Linked DNA regions of Caenorhabditis elegans. The protein of the gene in region 3 interacts with the protein of the main gene of each other region in a pairwise test. Each region holds a gene or a part of one and is shown on either strand. Other genes may lie near its edges. The genes, in order: imb-2, vbh-1 and npp-1.

The links.
Region 1: the proteins of npp-1 (region 3) and imb-2 interact in a two-hybrid assay, tested with the Caenorhabditis elegans proteins (one large-scale study listed by BioGRID).
Region 2: the proteins of npp-1 (region 3) and vbh-1 interact in a two-hybrid assay, tested with the Caenorhabditis elegans proteins (one large-scale study listed by BioGRID).

The regions. Positions count from the first base shown.
Region 1 is NC_003280.10:14,363,860-14,368,723, reverse strand, and holds the start of imb-2 (Importin N-terminal domain-containing protein), read right to left. Parts: upstream 3,024-4,864; 5' UTR 2,986-3,023; coding exon 2,950-2,985; intron 2,902-2,949; coding exon 1,510-2,901; intron 1,337-1,509; coding exon 1,003-1,336; intron 948-1,002; coding exon 615-947; intron 573-614; coding exon 357-572; intron 305-356; coding exon 54-304; intron 1-53. Other genes in the region: tebp-1 (SPK domain-containing protein), read right to left, coding at 3,849-4,058, 4,108-4,353, 4,420-4,608, 4,667-4,864.
Region 2 is NC_003279.8:3,157,884-3,164,371, forward strand, and holds vbh-1 (RNA helicase), read right to left. Parts: upstream 4,509-6,488; 5' UTR 4,401-4,508; coding exon of another isoform or gene 4,333-4,400; intron 4,287-4,332; coding exon of another isoform or gene 4,253-4,286; coding exon 4,035-4,252; intron 3,907-4,034; coding exon 3,856-3,906; intron 3,820-3,855; coding exon of another isoform or gene 3,811-3,819; coding exon 3,760-3,810; intron 3,714-3,759; coding exon 3,401-3,713; intron 3,333-3,400; coding exon 2,272-3,332; intron 2,225-2,271; coding exon 2,040-2,224; intron 1,985-2,039; coding exon 1,881-1,984; 3' UTR 609-1,880; downstream 1-608. Other genes in the region: mrpl-17 (Large ribosomal subunit protein bL17m), read left to right, coding at 4,933-5,139, 5,201-5,302, 5,355-5,630; Y54E10A.6 (B3/B4 tRNA-binding domain-containing protein), read left to right, coding at 5,809-5,937, 6,074-6,206.
Region 3 is NC_003282.8:9,856,719-9,862,725, reverse strand, and holds npp-1 (Nucleoporin Nup54 alpha-helical domain-containing protein), read right to left. Parts: upstream 4,239-6,007; 5' UTR 4,235-4,238; coding exon 4,137-4,234; intron 4,089-4,136; coding exon 3,985-4,088; intron 3,905-3,984; coding exon 3,800-3,904; exon of another isoform or gene 3,355-3,799; coding exon of another isoform or gene 3,129-3,354; coding exon 2,859-3,128; intron 2,621-2,858; coding exon 2,439-2,620; intron 2,383-2,438; coding exon 2,203-2,382; intron 2,153-2,202; coding exon 1,759-2,152; intron 1,665-1,758; coding exon 1,486-1,664; intron 1,436-1,485; coding exon 1,238-1,435; intron 1,191-1,237; coding exon 981-1,190; 3' UTR 615-980; downstream 1-614. Other genes in the region: K07F5.14 (NUC153 domain-containing protein), read right to left, coding at 1-2, 55-163, 278-502; K07F5.12 (Transmembrane protein 144 homolog), read right to left, coding at 4,740-4,948, 4,992-5,242, 5,289-5,560.

The DNA.
Region 1 (4,864 bases), on a different chromosome or scaffold from region 3:
AATATCGACATTTTTTCGATTTTGTCAGAAAAAAATCGAAAATCTTCAAATACCCCGGCAAAAAGAACCCGAAGTGAGTCGGTCGGTACTGTCCACGAAGCGATAGCGTCACACCAAAAGATGAAATCATTGAGAACTCCGACGGGATTCATGTTGATCATATTGCATAAACCGATGAACGCGCTCTCTTTTTCCGCGTTATCCTTAATATTTCGAAGTGAGTAGCAGCAAGGGCGAACGAATCGGCTGATATGGGGAGCCAGCTCTTCACCGCAACATTGTCCGAGACGGCCGATTGTGATGGCTGTAAATTTAAATACCTAGTTTCCAAGCTTTTACTATTTTTAGATATTCACCAGTATTCTCCAACAACGTCCGCTGCATATTCTGCTGGCTATTGATGACAACAATCAGAGGTTCAATGATGGGCCCGATGAACTGTTTCATTGCGGGACCCATTTTCAGCGCCAACTCTCCGAGCGCCCAAATCGCATTGTTGCACACACTGATCTTGGAGGGATCCAGGTTTTGGGCGAGAAAAAATATGAAATTGCCTGCAAATTGTAAGATTTCTGAAAATGTTTATCAAATCTGTAGACGCGGGAGCTACTTACTACTCTGTGGGAGCACTCGTTCTGGACACGCTTTCGTCAAATCTCCGAGTAACGCGAAGCACGATTGTCTGACGTCTGGCGTCACATCTAACGAGCAGAACAACATCAACTCGACCAGCTTGCTGTTTGCCACCAAGGGATCCATATGTTCCGGTAACGACTCAGCGAGTCCCGAGAGGAGATCAAGCGCCACAATGATAAAGTCCGTTTCGGGAGCTTCTACTTGATCCGGAGCCATAATGTGTTGTTGGTTTTGTTGAACACACTTTTCGATGAGACTACAGCACCTTGTGAATACCGGTTGAATGTATGGAAGGAAGGATTGTCCCATTGCTGTAAAAAGTATGAAGTCGAAACTATCTTATAATTAGTTATTTCTTTTACCAACCTGAAACAATTGCAGAAATACATTCCAAAAGTGGGAACAACTCCTTGTCCTCGTCACTCAACCGCTCCCACTTCTCCATCAACGGCGGCATGAGCATTTGCACATAAACCGGATGACTTAACGCGTCGCCCACAGAATTCGCTAGTGTTCCGATGGCATCGTACAAAATCAGAAGATTCTTTGCCTGATAGCACTGGAACGCCTTGACCAGTTGATCGAGGATCTCGCCAAGGAATGGAATGAGCTGCTCGCCAGCTTCTTCTTCGAGAGTTGCGAACGCAGAGCATGCAGCTTCTTGAACTTTCTTGTTTCCGTCGAGCGAACAGCGGAGAAGCTGAAAATTAATTTGTTTTTCTCAATTTAGTACATTACTTGCGTTCAACTAGAATTTAACTGAAAGAGTACCCCATTTTAAATCTTTTAAAACAATTTTGCAAATTAAGTCTAGTTTTTTTTTAAACTTTTTTTGAAGCACTACGAGGTTTTTTATATATTCTAAATTCTCACATTGGCGAGCACATCCTTGAAAAACTGTTGCCTGAAGTTCTCGTCGGATGCAATATGCGAACTATATCTGGACAGCGTCCAGCACGTGATCGATCGAACGAGTGGCTTCTTGTCAAACATCATAGCCAGCATGAATGGTATGAGCTCGCCAAGGTGTGGCACAACGCCGTCCATGCATCCCTCCGCGATTGCCCCGAGCGCAAGTATTCCAGACTCTTTGACCAGCCAGTTGTCATTCATCAATGTGTCCTTGAGGAGGGGGAAGAGCTTATCCAACAGATCCTTTCCAAAAATAGAAGCCAGAACATCTAAAGATGCTGCTGAACACCTTCTGATATTCCAGTCGCCACCACCATCGTCATCATCGTCCTCGTCTTCCTCATCATCCGACTCCACAAGGCCACCAAGACCATGCTGCTTCGACTTATGAAACCTAGGCTTGATATCCTCCTCTCTATCAGGAACCGAACTATCTTCATCATTAGCTTTCAACGCAGGATCTGTCTCAGAATATCGCATGGAGCCAAGCAGAACTGGTATGAGCTTATCGAGATGTGGAAGCACCATTGTTCGGCAAATATCACTATTCTCAGCAATTGAAAGCCAAAACTCGCAGGCCTCTAAGGCAATCGACTCGTTGTGATCTTGAGTCTTCTTAATAATATATTCTATGACATTCGGCAAATGAGGCATCATTTTCTCGATGTGTGTGTCCAGCAGAAGCGTCAGCGATCTACATAACTGTTTTTGCACCTCCTCATCATTGTCATTGTGGCGAGCGAAAAGCGAAGTAAGAAATTGATCTATTGCAAAATCAATTGGATCATTATTAACCATTAGAATGCAATTCACACAATTCATTGCAAGAGCCCGCATCTTCGCAGCATGATGCTCATAGAAAACAAGAAGCTTCGGCATGATTGGCCGAAGAAATTCCGACTCATACCGATCCGCCGAGTCTTCGAAAACCTTCTGAAGTGCTCCAAGAGCGCCTTCTTGCATCAGCTCGTCGGGTTGCATCAGAACTGTGGCCAGAGTGTCTAGAAGGTCCGGCCAATCGCACATATTCTCCTCCATAACGATAGTCGTGACAATGATACCTACTGTCGCACGAATCAGTGGCTCTTGATCGCCTATACTTTTCAAACATGTTGTCCTGACGAAAAACTTCACGTCCTGCGGATACTTATTCCATTTTGCTCGAATATTATTTTTAAGCAACAAGCCGGCCAGCGATCGACTCGTCGCGTCAATCATCTCCTTCATGTCGCTCAGTATGTAAACCAGATAACAACAGAACTTCTGATGCTCATTGAGCTGTACCAATTGCACTTGAACATTACGTTGAACATCTCTGTCTGTGGAGTGAGCGTGTTGTAAGAGTTGAATTACCTGAAAACTCGGATTTTGCGAAATAATCGATTTTTTAACGACGCTCACCTGCTCTAATTCGTGTTGGTCTGGTTGGAAAGCCATTTTGATTCGTCGGCATAAAGCTCCAAATTGTTCTGAAAAAAGAAACACATTAAAATCGTAAATTTAAACTTCTTAACGAGCAATTAATTAAGATTTTACGGATTGATGTCAAGAATGCAGTAATTTCTGCAGAATTGAAATTTGTGTTCAAAATATCAACCATATTGATATTTTAAATAAAATGGAGATAAATCCTGCAGCCAGAAGCAAAAATCGATGAGGACGCGTTCTCTGAATTGCTGAGAAGGGGAGAAATTGTGTTTTGCCGGCAGAAAAGAGCACTGCGGGTGGACGGAAAAGACGCCAAACCGAATACGCGCCAGCATTCACAAGGGAAATTTGAAAATAATTGTTTTATATTTTGTAACAAATATGGGGAACGTATTTATCATGATCATGGGAAAAAAATATGACAAATGTTTCAAAGCTAGAATTTCGCTGCGAGACCCGTAACCTGTAAGCCATGTTCCTTTAACTTTTGATTACTGTAGTAGGCACCTTTTGATATAAAAAATTCCCGTGTTCGAAGTTATTTAATAAAAAAATTAAAAAAGTTAACTTAAAGCTTAAAATGTTTATTTGACAAATAAAAAATGAATAAAACACGTTCATTTGGAGAAGTGTTATTTAACCAGTTTTTGTAATGAACGGGAGATCCATTTAGAGAACAACAAATTGAACACAATTGTACTAGAGGAAAGGAATGGAAAATCCATAAATGTTGAGAAAAATTGAAAAGAAGAATAGAAAAAAATGTTAAACAGTTATTTATGACTAGGGCGAGGGGTAAGGAATGAGAGAAGCCCATTAACTGTGAGAGAAATTGAATGGGAAAAAGAAAAAAACAGAACTTCAAAATCTATTTAATTGGTTGGCCCAAAATCAGCCTCAATGAGCGCTTCCCGGATGGCTTCTGTGCGCACTTCGAGAACCTTCTCGTTCTCGACGTTGCCGAGAACCTCTTCCACAATGGATTCCTTCTGTTCCAGAAGAACTTCACGAGAGATTCCTGTGAATTTGGTCTCAATCGCCTTGATAATTGTGCCGATTGTAACGGTCTTCGCTGTGGACTTCTGGAAAAAAAAAACCCGATAAAATTTCTATTATTTCTTTTTTTCTTACGTCAGTCCAATTTTCCTGATTTCCAAAAGCTTTCTCCAACGCTTCGTGTATCAATTCCAAATCTTTATCGTCGGCATCGTCCAAGACTTGCTGAACGACTTGCGAGTTCAGAGCATCATAATCCACCAAAATTGGAGAAATCTCGGCCGGCTTTAAACCATTGGAGGCGCTGTGGGATAGGCGATTTGGTATCATAGGAACCTTGAACACTGGCTCAGCTGATCGTGGGATGTCGGAATATGACTTCTGAAAAAAAAAACTTTAAATCAGTATTTTAAAATCATCATCCAAGTGAATTCAGGTTAAAATTACCTCCATTTTCACCCTGCACGAATTTGGAAGCAGCTCATCAAAGCTAGAAGACTCTGGAATCGTTGAGTCGGATTGTGATGTAAAAACGTCTCGAGATCCTTGACCGGCTTCAGACGGCACGAGCGCAGCGGCAGCTGGCTCGGCTGATGACACTGGCTCAGATGATGATGAGACGTCGGAGGACGATTTCTGAAAAAAAAAACAATTGAATTCAGTCTTTAAGATTATAATTCAAGTGTAAAATTACCTCCATTCCCACCCTGGAGAAATTTTGAAGCGACTCAGAGAGCAAGATCACAGCAGCAGCTGCACCTTCGAGAACGGTAGTCTCGTTTGTACTCTCGGTGATAGATTTCTGGAGATTGTTCACAGCATCCGTCATTTTGTTAGACAATTCGTCGACGTCCATTGCTTCTTTCTTAGAAGCAACCGATGTATCGAGATT
Region 2 (6,488 bases), on a different chromosome or scaffold from region 3:
TCTCATGATTTAGTGTTCCCATAATACCGAATTTTGAGAGCAGTTTTCCTTCGCTTTTCGTAGATATTATTTGTGTCATTTCTATGCTTTATTTTATTATTTTATCATTAAATATATAATTTTAATTGAAAAAACGAGCAATATTGGTTTCATTTGATGATGAGTCTCCCACAAAAGCATATTTACTCATTTTTCCCCCCTCTTTTGCAGATTTTTAAGGAGAAGACCGGCATTTTTCTATTTGAAAGGCAAGAATTATCAATTTTCATTGATGATAATTGTTTTTAATTCAGGATTTCGACAACAATGGAGAGGGTGAAGACTGCTGATTGTTTTTTTTTTCGAAGTTGAATGACATCGGAAACGAAGGTACATAAACTCCCGGGAATTTAGCCTACAAGTTGCTGGAATCATAATTACAAATTTTCAAATAGAAATGAAAATTTGACTGACATGAGGCAATATTTAATACATTAATTTTTTGGCCTAGGACTAGACTATTAACGACCACGTAGCATTTGACATGTTGTGAAGATAGATAATTTTCTTGCGGTCATTTCTTATATGCAACGAGAGCATCAGCATGCCCGCGTATAAATGTTTTCAAGTACCAGATACCAAGTTTATTCAACTATTTGTCAGGCCACAAGGGCTTTTAAGATTATTCTCAAAGAGCTGAAAGTGAACATTCAAGATGGAAAAAGAAGATAAGAATCTCATAGTGACAGAGATAAGTGCGTGACGAGGGAAAGAGAAAAATGATGGGAGAGGGACGATGAAAATAAAAAAGAAAAATTGTGCATATTGGACAAGAATGCAGTTGGTTGGGGAGAAATTGGCAAATAGAAATTGAAGAGAAAGCGTGGAAACGGACTGCACGTTCAACGGCTTAGACCGGCCTAGAAAATGTTTGGAATTAGCTATTGACGAGACGCATATGATAGTGCAACTTGAGTATTATGAAATGGTTGGTTCTATGATTTTCGTGTATACTGTTTAGAGGGAGAAAAAACAACTAACAATGAATATTACTTGGCTCAAAAAAAACATCAGTTGGAGGGAAAAATGATAGAGATTTGGGGATAGGTGGGGGGAGATCATTATCATAAGAGAGCAACCAAGCTTTTTATACCTAACTCGCAATTATTTAATGATAAACTGACGATCATACTGGCGAACAATTATGAAAATATAATTAGACACCCGCAGCTATACCAAGTTAAGAATTGAATAATTGCAAGACGAATGGTTGGGATCAGATTGGGGAACAAGTAAAAATTAATTAAAAATACACACAATATCACGAATCAACAACGGGCAGCACTATGTAAACGGGTTTCAACAAAGCTTACAAACAACCGATAATAGAGAAAAACCGTGCTGAGTCCCCGACGCGGTAGTGCATCGGATGCCATCCAGCGGCCATAAGAAAAACTACAAAACTACGAGATAAAACTGCATTGATTCTCTCGGGGTATTGTTGATGCAAGAAAACAACACCAAGAGAAACAAAACAATGGTACAAATTGCCAGGCAACAACAACATTTTTGGGGGAAATGGGAGGATACAATAAAATTCAATGTTAAAACCCTAGATCACGCATAGAATCCATTAAAATATTCGTCACTTAAAGCTCTGAGATAAAAAAAATTGAATGATTAAAACACAATTACAGAGAGAATAATATGAAATAAAAGAGAGGAATAAGCCACGCTTTAAAGAAGGAGACAGAATAAAAAAGAGAAGGAGGAAAAAATGATTATTTTAATATGGATGGAACGAGTAAAGGAAAAAAGGAAGACAACTAAATTATAAAAAAAGGAGTATGGTGCGAGACTTTAATGTGGAATTCCGGATTTCCGTTTGTTGCGAATAATGTTTAAGCTTGTGGAGCTTGCCAATGATCAATTGGAGCCTGGCCTGGGTTTGAGTAAAAACCTCCACCGCCACCACCCTGACGGTTCATTCCACTGTTGAAGCCACCTGAAATCAAGGAATTGATTAATTTTGCATTATTTTCTTTATTTTCTCCACAAACCTCTTCTTGGGCCACTGAAGCCGCCACCGCCACCACTATTAGAGGTAGACGACAGAGAGCTATGAGCTCCGAATCCTCCATTCGTGAACGGGCGACGTGGTGCTCCTCCTCCGAACGAACCACCGTAGGCGGGTCCACTTCCGAAACCACCAGTGGCTCCACCGGAATTGTAATTTGAGAAGTTTCTGAAACTATTAGCAATATTAATTTTCAACTGCTCATTTGATCTTACCCTCCGAACGATCCACCACCACCACGACCAACACGATAGTCGGTTGCTCCGAAGCGACGGTTTCCACCACGTTGTCCACCTCCAATGCGTCCTTCTGCAGCAACTTGATGAAGCCATTCTGGGACTTCTTGGTTGGATTCGACAATCAGATTCTTCAAATCACGACCGATTCCTCGATTCTTGTCATTGAAGAAACTGGTGGCAATTCCAAGGTTTCCGCATCTTCCGGTTCTACCGATACGGTGAACATATTCGTCAGAATCTCCAGGAAGATCATAATTGATGACGTGGCGCACATTTGGAATATCCAATCCACGAGCGGCAACAGCAGTTGCGACAAGAATTGGGCACTGTCCAGAGCGGAACAACTCGAGATTTCTCTCACGTTCAATTTGTTTGAGATCTCCGTGAATTGAAACAGAGCGGATCTGCTGACGATTGAGGAAATACGCCAACTCGTTGGCTCCTCTCTTTGTCTCAACGAATACGAGAACCAGATTTTCAGAATGCTCGTTCATCAGAATTTCCATCAGATTGCTTCTCTTTTCCATCTCGTTGACCCAAAGCAGACGTTGTTCAATATTTTCAGACGTTGATCCAACACGACCAACTGCCAAAAAGATATAGTTATCCTTGAGGAAGTCCTTAGCGAGAACTTGAATCTCCTTCGGGAAGGTTGCACTGAACATAGCTGTGGTACGAGCAGTCTTTGGTGGCATTCCTTGGCCAACGATCTTTCTGATTTGCGGCTCAAATCCCATGTCAAGCATACGATCAGCTTCGTCGAGAACCAGGTAACGACATCCGGCGAGTCCAATGAATCCTTGCTCAATAATGTCAATCAAACGACCTGGGGTAGCAATGAGGATATGCGTTCCAGCGCGAAGACGATTCACTTGATCACGATAGTTTTCACGTCCTCCGTAAAGAATAGCCGTCTGGATGTTGCTTTTGTAGCTGAACTTTGTAGCTTCCTTGTGGATTTGAATGGCAAGTTCACGAGTCGGCGAGAGAACCAGAGCACATGGATAGTAAGTGCGACGACCGTTTGTGAACGCTGGCTGCAATTAAAATAGTTTTTTGTATAAATTTTTCGAATTTTGATGGATCGCAGGTTTGCCCTACTTACCGGCTTGACCATATCTGGACCACCAGCCAAAATATGCTGAATAATTGGGAGCAGGAAAGCGGCAGTTTTTCCAGATCCGGTTTGAGCGCAAGACATCAGATCGCGGTTAGCCAAAAGAGTTGGGATCGAGTGTTTCTGGACAGGAGTCGGCTTGGAGTATCCGCTGCGATTCACGTTCTCCATCACAGCCGGCCCAAAACCAGCTTCATTGAAATGCTCGATGGCTGCTGGAACGGAGTCTCCGCTGACTTCTACGGGAATATTTTCGTACTTGTCAAAGTTGATGCCACTGTCGGTACGGTGGAACAAATTGCTGAAATACCATATCGCGTTTAATAATCAGAACATTTTAATCTCACCTTTCGGAATATTCGGCAGGTGCTCCTCCCCATTGATTACTCTCGGCTCCACTGTAACGTCTACTAATAAAAATTGTAATTCAGATTTAAACATACTTGTTGTTGAAACCGTTTCCGCTGTCGGCGAAGTTGTTGTACCCAGACGATCTGCAATTTCAAGATTTGATAAAAGAGAAGCCTCATTTCAGGTTAACAAAAAGCAACAAAGGAAATGAAGAACAAGCATATGGTTAGAGGCAAACACAATCACCAGCACACTATACACCTGTTCTCACCCATTCTCATCGAAGTTTTCAAAGTTTTCTGAGTAGCCCATTTTGAAATGCTGCTGCTGTTGTGGCTGCCCTTGAAAGTAAGGAGAAGGAACAAATCCAGCATGAGGAGCACCCATCATCTGCCCCATCCCTGGGACCATAGGTTGTTGAATTGCATACCCGTTGTTTGACGGAGTTCCGTTGGCGAATCCGTTGTAAAATACGCCTCCTGCAGGCATATTATTGCTCTGTTGAGAATACGAGGATGACCAGCTGAAAAAATGAGGTTGAAATCTTGAAATCCGTTTCGAAATCATACCCTTGTCCCTGTTGTTGTTGTGGCGGCTGTTGTTGACCGTTGTGATTCGCATAATATTGTGTGTTCATTGTAAGACTATATCAAACGGAAACCCGGAATTCGAAAAAGAAAAATCGGCGAATCTAAACCGATTTTGTACCCAATTGACGTCGAGATTACAGAATATGTATCTGAAATTCATTTTATTGGCTTGTTGCGAAACAAATGAAGTTTTAAGACGGAGAAAATGAGTATTTATCATTAATAAACGACGAATTATCATTTTTCGCATAATTTAACTCGAAAATTATGCGAAAAACGATGACAATGGAGAAAATCGACACGAAAAACCGTAGAGAAGAAGCGGAAATGAGAGAAGTGAATTCAGCACGCAATGATGAAGAGACGTTTGTTTTCCCATCGAGACCCGCCGACCGTGTAAATCGGTGCGCCTTTAAAGTGCGTGTGTGAGGAAGCGTGTTTCAACGCAAAAAACGCTCCGAAATTTCGCGAAATAGAATTAAATTTAATTTTTATTAGAATTTCTATTGAAATATATGGGATTTTATTCAATTTTTTGAATTTCCGACTCAAAATTAATAAAAAAAAGATTTCCAGGCAATGTCAGCTCACCGAGTGGCAGTGTCACTGCCAAGAATCGGCGTCACAATTGGTCACGCACCACAAAAGCTGAAAACCGGAGGAATTGAGCCAAGCCGTCGTGCTCGTCTCGAAGTGCTCCGTCGCATCGTCACCCGAACTGTCCGTGAGGAACGCGCCGAGCTGAAATGGAACCGCGCCGTCGAGGCCAGGCCATATTTGGAGAGGGTGAGGGGTTTTTTGTTTGAAAATGAGTGAGAAAATTAAAATTTAAAAAAATAAAATTCAGCTAATTCAATTGGGTGTCGAAAGAGGACCACTTGACGAGTATACAGCCGAAATGATGGAATGGTGGCTGCCTGAGAAGGATTTAATTACGAAAATGCATGAAGTAAATTGATTTAAAAAGATTTTTCGCCAAAAAAAAATCATTTTTTTCCCAGGTAATTGTTCCACGATTCCAAGACCGCGATTCTCCATTCACATCACTATTCCGACTTCCACCACAACGTCTTCAACAATTTATCCAGAATAAGCGAGAAGTCTGGAAGCGATACGATATCGGAGTTCTGGAAATCGACGGAAATCCATTTCCACAAATACAAGCAGACCGCGTAGATCAATCTGAATCAATTCTTGATGTTCTTCTAGCTGACGCCCTTCGGAATCACCAGAAGAATCTTCAGGAAAAGCTGGATACTCCGAAGAAATCTCAATGAATTTTTATTATTTTTTTTGTTTTTGTTTCGCTAGAATCCTAGAATTTTTGTTTCTTTATATATTAAACTTTGAATCATTTTCAATATTTATAACGAATTTTGTGGTTCGATTCAATTATTTATATCTTTATCTAATTTTTTTCCCACTTTTTCACCGAAAAAATTAAAATTCAGAATAATGTTCGAAGAGCAACCGGAGGTAATAGAGGCGATCGAGAATAATCGCTTCGAAATTGTCATCAAAAATGTTCGAATCGATTCGGTCACCGAAGCGGCCAATCTTTCCCAGAAACGGGTTTTCGAGAGTGTAAGGGAATTTTAATTTTTGGAAAATCCGTGAATTTCCGCAAAAAAACGATTTTTTTCTCGGAATTTCAAACAAATTTTTTTTTTGTAAATTTTATAATACTAAATTCCCATCAAAACCCAAAATTTATTTTCAGATGTCCCAATTGAATCTCCTTTCTCTCACTGGATGCTCTCTTCACAATCTTTCGTCTTCGATTAGATCTTGCAGTAATCTAATGCATTTGGTTTTGCCGAAAAATGATTTAAAACAGCTTCCAGACGTTTTTGGTGTGTATTTTGTGGATTTTTTTTTGTTTTTTTAGACGGAAATTAGTCGAAATATACCAAATATAACTGTTAAATAGCATATCTTTTCAATTTCGCAACAAAAAATTTGAATTATTTTGAATGACATGATTTCGAAATTAAATGTTTAATTCCGGCAAATTGCCGGTTTGCCGGAAAAAAATAAAATTTTAAATTCTTGCGAATTGCCGATTTGCCGGAAATTTTCTATTTTTTCAAGTATGCCGATTTGCCGGAAAAAATTAAACTTTGAATTCATGCAAA
Region 3 (6,007 bases):
GCCTAAAAATTGAAAAATAGTTTTGGTTTAATTTATTTTAATTTTAGACAATACCTTTAGGACCAGAGTGTCTATTTTTGATTTCAAAATCTTCCTCCTCATCTTTATCGTTTTCATCTTCAGAATCGAAGAGTTTTGGACGTTTTGAACTGCGCGAGGTTTTCTGAATTATTCCAACTTAGTTTACGAGTATTGTCTTTACAGCAAACAACTTTATGAAATCGGGCAATTGCTGTTATAAGAGATTTTTATCTCAAAAAATTGAAAAACTTCCAACCTTTTCACCATTCGCGGCTGTTTTTTCTGTTTCTTCATCCTGATCATCCCCATCATCCGAATCTTCAAATACAATGCGTTTTGTCGTTTTTTTGTCAACATTAGCAATGTCAGCAGCAATTTGACGATCTCTTTCTCTCTGATCTTGAATTTTTTGCCTCATCGCGGCTCGACGAGCTTCATCTGAACGTTGACGTCTCTTTTCATCATTGTCTTCATCGTCCATTTTCTGAGATACATTTTGCAATAGTTTTTATGTGATTCTAATTATTTGAAAATCGCAGAAATTCGAACGGGAGACAACCGTTATTTGACAAAACTCAAACAGAAAAATGGAGATCAAATTTATTCTAGATAGAAGTTTGAGATGAATTAATTCAATCTATTAAACAGTGTGTGAAATAAGACAATTAACAATTTGAGGAGGTCAGATCAACAGTTACAACCAAGAATGAGGCATATTTTATGAAAAAATGTACTCGTGATGACAGGCGAACATAGAAAAAAGCGAGCTTTTTTGCTCAATATGTATAAGTTTTAAAAACAATTTTCTGCCACACATCTTAGGTCGAAACAGAAATAACCAGAAACCTGTCAGAGTTTGAAAGAAAATAATGATGATACAAAAGAAATGAGCGAATTTTTAAATTAATACGAGAAAATCTGAAAAAAAGATTTTCAGAAAATCTTTTCTAAAAAATAAATTATCCTTCTAGAGCCCTTCTACAAGCTTCAAGACTTTCGATTTGTTGATGTGTTGACTCGTAAAGGCCAGAGCAAATATTAACAAATTTGGTAAGCACTCTACGAGCATAGTGTTCATCTTCAATTGTCATATCAAACATTTTCCACATTGATTCTTGAAGTTTATCCGGTTTTGATTCCAAAATCTCGTAGAATTTGTCGACATAAAACTGAAATTAATTGTTTTATACAAAATTAAATCATAATTTTTTCTCACCTTCACTTGATTATGACGATTCATTTGGGCAAGAAGTGTATCAGCTTTAGCTTCAATTACATCCTCATCAGTGTCAATTTGACGTGAATATCTTGATACAATCCATTGTGCAAGCATAACACGAACAATTCTGTACGAGAGAGTTTTATGGCGATTACGAATAATCTCCATCTTAACAACTGCATCTGCATGTTCATGCTGAAATATGTATGACATTTGTAAACTTTCATCAAGTTATAACAACTTACATTAGCTTCTTCAACACGATTTCCCAATGCATTAATTGCCTCGTGGAATAGTTTCGACTCGCCAACTTGAGCCTTCTGTCTGTCTCTTAATGCTTCCCATCCACGTACTGGAACAGGAAGAAGTTTGTTTGGAGCTGGGTTTTCTTTGATTGCTTGTCTCCAAATACGCTCATCGATTCCTGAAATGAATGAAATTTGATACAATGCGAGGGAGGAAAACGAAAATCTTTGTTAATAAATGATAAACATAGTAAAAATAACGAGTAAACTAACCATCAGGAACTGTCTCCAAATATCTATCTCTTTGTGCTTTCGACATTCCAACTTTAGGAAGAACCCTTGTTTTATCCACTTGCAACTGCGATTCTAATTGGGTCATTTTTGGAGCATCATTGAGGATTTGAGCAAGTTTAATAGCTCCTGCAACAAATCCGCCTTCTTTGGCGATAATACAGATTTCTGTGCATCCATCAGAAAGTGTTCTCATCGAAGTACCAGGAGCATATCGAACTTCTACATTTGGTCCGCCACCAAGAATAGCTTTGATAATTTCAAGAATTTTGTCACGGCGTTCTTCTGTGTTCAAGTTTGTAATAGGATGACGCAGCACCAAAGTTACAAATCCCTCATCGTCGGTTCGCTCCGAAATACGATTGTATCCGATTCCCTGAAACGTGACACTGTGCAAGTTTTCAGTGATTTATAAAATAAACTTACAACAAATCGTTCAAACAAGTTTCCTTCCATTGAAAACGATAGAAGCTGATTTCCATCTTTGTATGGAGCTTTTCCGACACCCAAACCGGCAGCAACTTGATTCAACTTAGCAACAACTCCATCATTATCATTTCCAAAGAGCTTTGGATCTCCGACAGCTTTCACAAATGGGTGATACTGCTGAAAAAATTTTATTTGGAAAAGCGCTCAGATATTCTTAAGATTCATTTAATTACCTGAATAACTTGTTGCTGCTGAACAACAGGCTGTTGTTGTTGTTGAGTTGCTCCAAGACCACCAAGAGTAGACCCTGAGCTGGAACCAAAAAATCCGCCTGTAGCTGGCTTTGCAGTACTCGATCCAAAAAGCGTTGATCCCGCGGCTGTTCCAGTCGACGCTGCTCCGAATGGGGTCGATCCTGAAAATTGAGCCATCAAAATTATCAAAGTTCGTTAATTAGACAATTATATTCCAGATTCACGATAAAATACTTGAAGCAATGTTTTAAAGCTAATTAGACATATCTAAATTAATTATTTTTAAGATTTAATATTAGGTTTAGTTTTTTTTTTTTTTATTCGGTTTTTGATCTGACCCACCAAGTCTACTCAATTCTAGAAATATGAAAAGCTAATACAAAGTTGATGAATACCAACCTCCAAATGTTGAGTAGGGAGGACGATAAGCTGCTGGAGCCACATTCAAGTTGTTTGCCGGTGATAGAAAAGATGACTGTGGGGCATTAGTTCCTGGTAACGCAGATGGTGTGGCAAAAGATGTTGGAGTATTACCAGAAAGACTACCAGCCCCCAAAGTTCCTGATTTGAATGCTGCCAATCTTGTGGCAACGGGTGATTTGGCAGTTTGTTGTGTGGATCCAATACCGCCGAGACCTCCAGATGTCGTTGATGATGTTCCGAAGAGTCCTGAAGTTCCAGAAGTGGTTCCAGATGCCGGAGAATTTGTGAAAAGCGTGCGGTTAGCGTCATTGGGTGCTCCAAACAAATTGCGACGGGCTGGTGAACTAACATTCTGGGTTGCTGGGGCTGGAGCTTGAGATGCTGATGTCGTAGGTAAATCGGGAAGATTTGGAAGATTCTTCGGCATGTCTTCTGCTTTGATTCCGGTGATGCCCCCACGTCGGGCAAACATTTCTGCAGACGCTCGAGACGAAGAAAACGAGTAGCAAAGAGCAACACGGGTGATAGAAGAACAGGCAAAGAAATCCGCACGACACCGACCACGACAGAGAAAAGTGAAGGTAACGAACACAATGACGACGAGAGAAGTAGAGCGATAGGAGAGAAATAACAATTTTGAATAAAAATTAAGCGCAAATCACAGAAGTAGAACCTTGGTAGGTCAAATAATTTGTCAGATCAAAAAATATATTGAGTCTATTTTCTTTTTTCATTCATTTGTTGCTGGAATTTAGAATATAATTTTTTGGTCCAAAATGTATTACTTCGATCAATATGATTTATCGATTTCCCCTCCTTATCATTGTCTAGCTTTTCTCTCAACGAGACCACACAACAGCTAATAGTATAAACTAAGTAGAAGTGACCGAAAATATCGATAATTTTGAGTAGCTTACCGGTTGTAGAAGCACCGAAAAGACTTGGAGTAGCTGTTGAAGTGGTTGGAGCAGCACCAAACAAAGTTCCAGCAGTTGAAGTGGTAGTAGTTGAAGTGCCTGTCTCTGAAATTTAATATATTTCGGTTTAAAATGCAACTTTGATTACGAAGTAAGTTGTGTAAAAGTAAAAATATCAAACTTACTTCCAAACAATCCTCCAGAAGGAGTAGAGGTATTTGTTGTTCCAAAAAGCGAAGGCGTTGATGAAGCCTGAGCAGTTGAACCGAACAGAGGCTTTGATGGCGTTCTGAAAATAATATTTTTGTATAAAAATAATACTTCTTAAAATACTAACGTGCTTCCAAACAAAGTTCCAGACGATGTTGTTGGAGCATTCGGCGTTGGAAACGTAAATGCCTGTTTTTGGGGAGTAGATGACCCGAAAAGTGACATTTCGCTGAAAACAAACGATTTTTAAGAGAAATGGGGCTTGTGAGAAGAAAAAGAACACATATGTAGTTAATGCGAGAATTCTAGAATGAAAATAATAATATAAATAAGACAATGAGCCGAATTAAATCGATTTTTGGGGACGCTTTGGCGTGCAAATTTTTTCGAATTTTGTCTGTGTACGAAGGGGCGCGTTTGCTGGCACCCTCCTCGAAGATGAAAGAATACATATTCCGAAGAACATTCAACCGTGAAAAGAAATGCATGTTTCAGGTATTCAGTTACTTCGTATTTTGCGAAAATTTGATAACTCATTTTAATCAAGAATTCTTAAATTGAATTTCGATATAAAAGATATCAATAGTAACTTCTTTAGATTTCCAGTTGTTTTGTTGAAAAATTTTTTTTTTAAACCAAACGATCGTTTAAACGATACGAATAATACTTTATTTCAAATATAATACAACATTTTGAGATGAGATCAATAAATCGTTCGGTTCTGTTCTAATTAAATCTGATTAGACAAAGCAATCATAATCACCGAAATGACACCAATAACAGAAGAAATTGCCAACGTAGCATATGATCGGGTTCCTTGAATACTCTTGAATACAAATACATCAAGAGCTCCACTAATTAACGGTGGAAGACGGGCGGTACATGGATAGGCAACAACTTGAGATAATTTATCACTGGAGACAAACCAAAGTGTCATTCCTGAAGAACTAAACATTTGAACAATCGACCACGCATCTCTTACCTGTAGTCCATAAAATACCGTACCCAATCGATGGAATTATCAAATTCCTTTCCACGTAGGCTTTTCGACGCAAAATTACACAATACGCGAAGAAATACAGTGTAGAGAAGAGGAATACTGATGTGTAGAATGGGAAAATATAGTCAAACACTTGGAAACTATCAGTTGGTGGATTCTGTTGCTTCAAATATTCAATCGGTGACATCATCAAACCATGTAGACACGCAAGAACCATTGCCATAAGGATATAACTGAAAATTCGTTTTTTTTTTAAATTTCTAAGCATGCCCAACGAACGGTAATTTCTTTGCCAAACCAGCCATATCAAATGAAGAATCTCTTTCTGAATTGCTGAGTCTTTGCTCAATCTCTTCTTGATGTTCCATTTCCTTGCTGGTCACATCATATTCATTTTCTGGCTCCGTTTCCACGTGTTTCACGAATATCAAAAGAACTCCACTCACGATTGTCAATGCAATTCCAATATAGTTCAACACATCATTTTTCACATTCTGCGGGGCAATCCATTGGAACAGCCCGAATCTTGCCACTCCCCATCCGACAATAATCTTAAAGAAGAGTTTCAGAGTAGTTTCAGAGTAGTAGTAGTAGTTTCAGTATGTTTCAGAGTAAGCTTTCCGCGTAGACACAAAACGCCTGCCTGCATTTTGAGGCAATCTGCGTCTTCCCGCCAAAATTCCGAAAATAACGAGGTAGACGGTATGGGCGCAATTGCTGGAAATTTTGAAAACCAAAAAAATTGTATCACATTTCCAAAACCTCTGATAGTATTCAATTGAAATTCATGCCACAAATAAGTATTCAAGAAATAATTTTAGATTAAAATTATTTTGAAAAACCTTTTTTTTGAGACCCGAAGAACTCGTGGGATGTCCAACTGGGGGGATTACCAACTCGGGGGATTGGCCCCGCCCACAGAACCGTGGCTTGCAATACGCCCATTTCTGCAACTGCCGCACGGTTTTAAAACTGTATTTTTCTCAATAGAGCGAGAA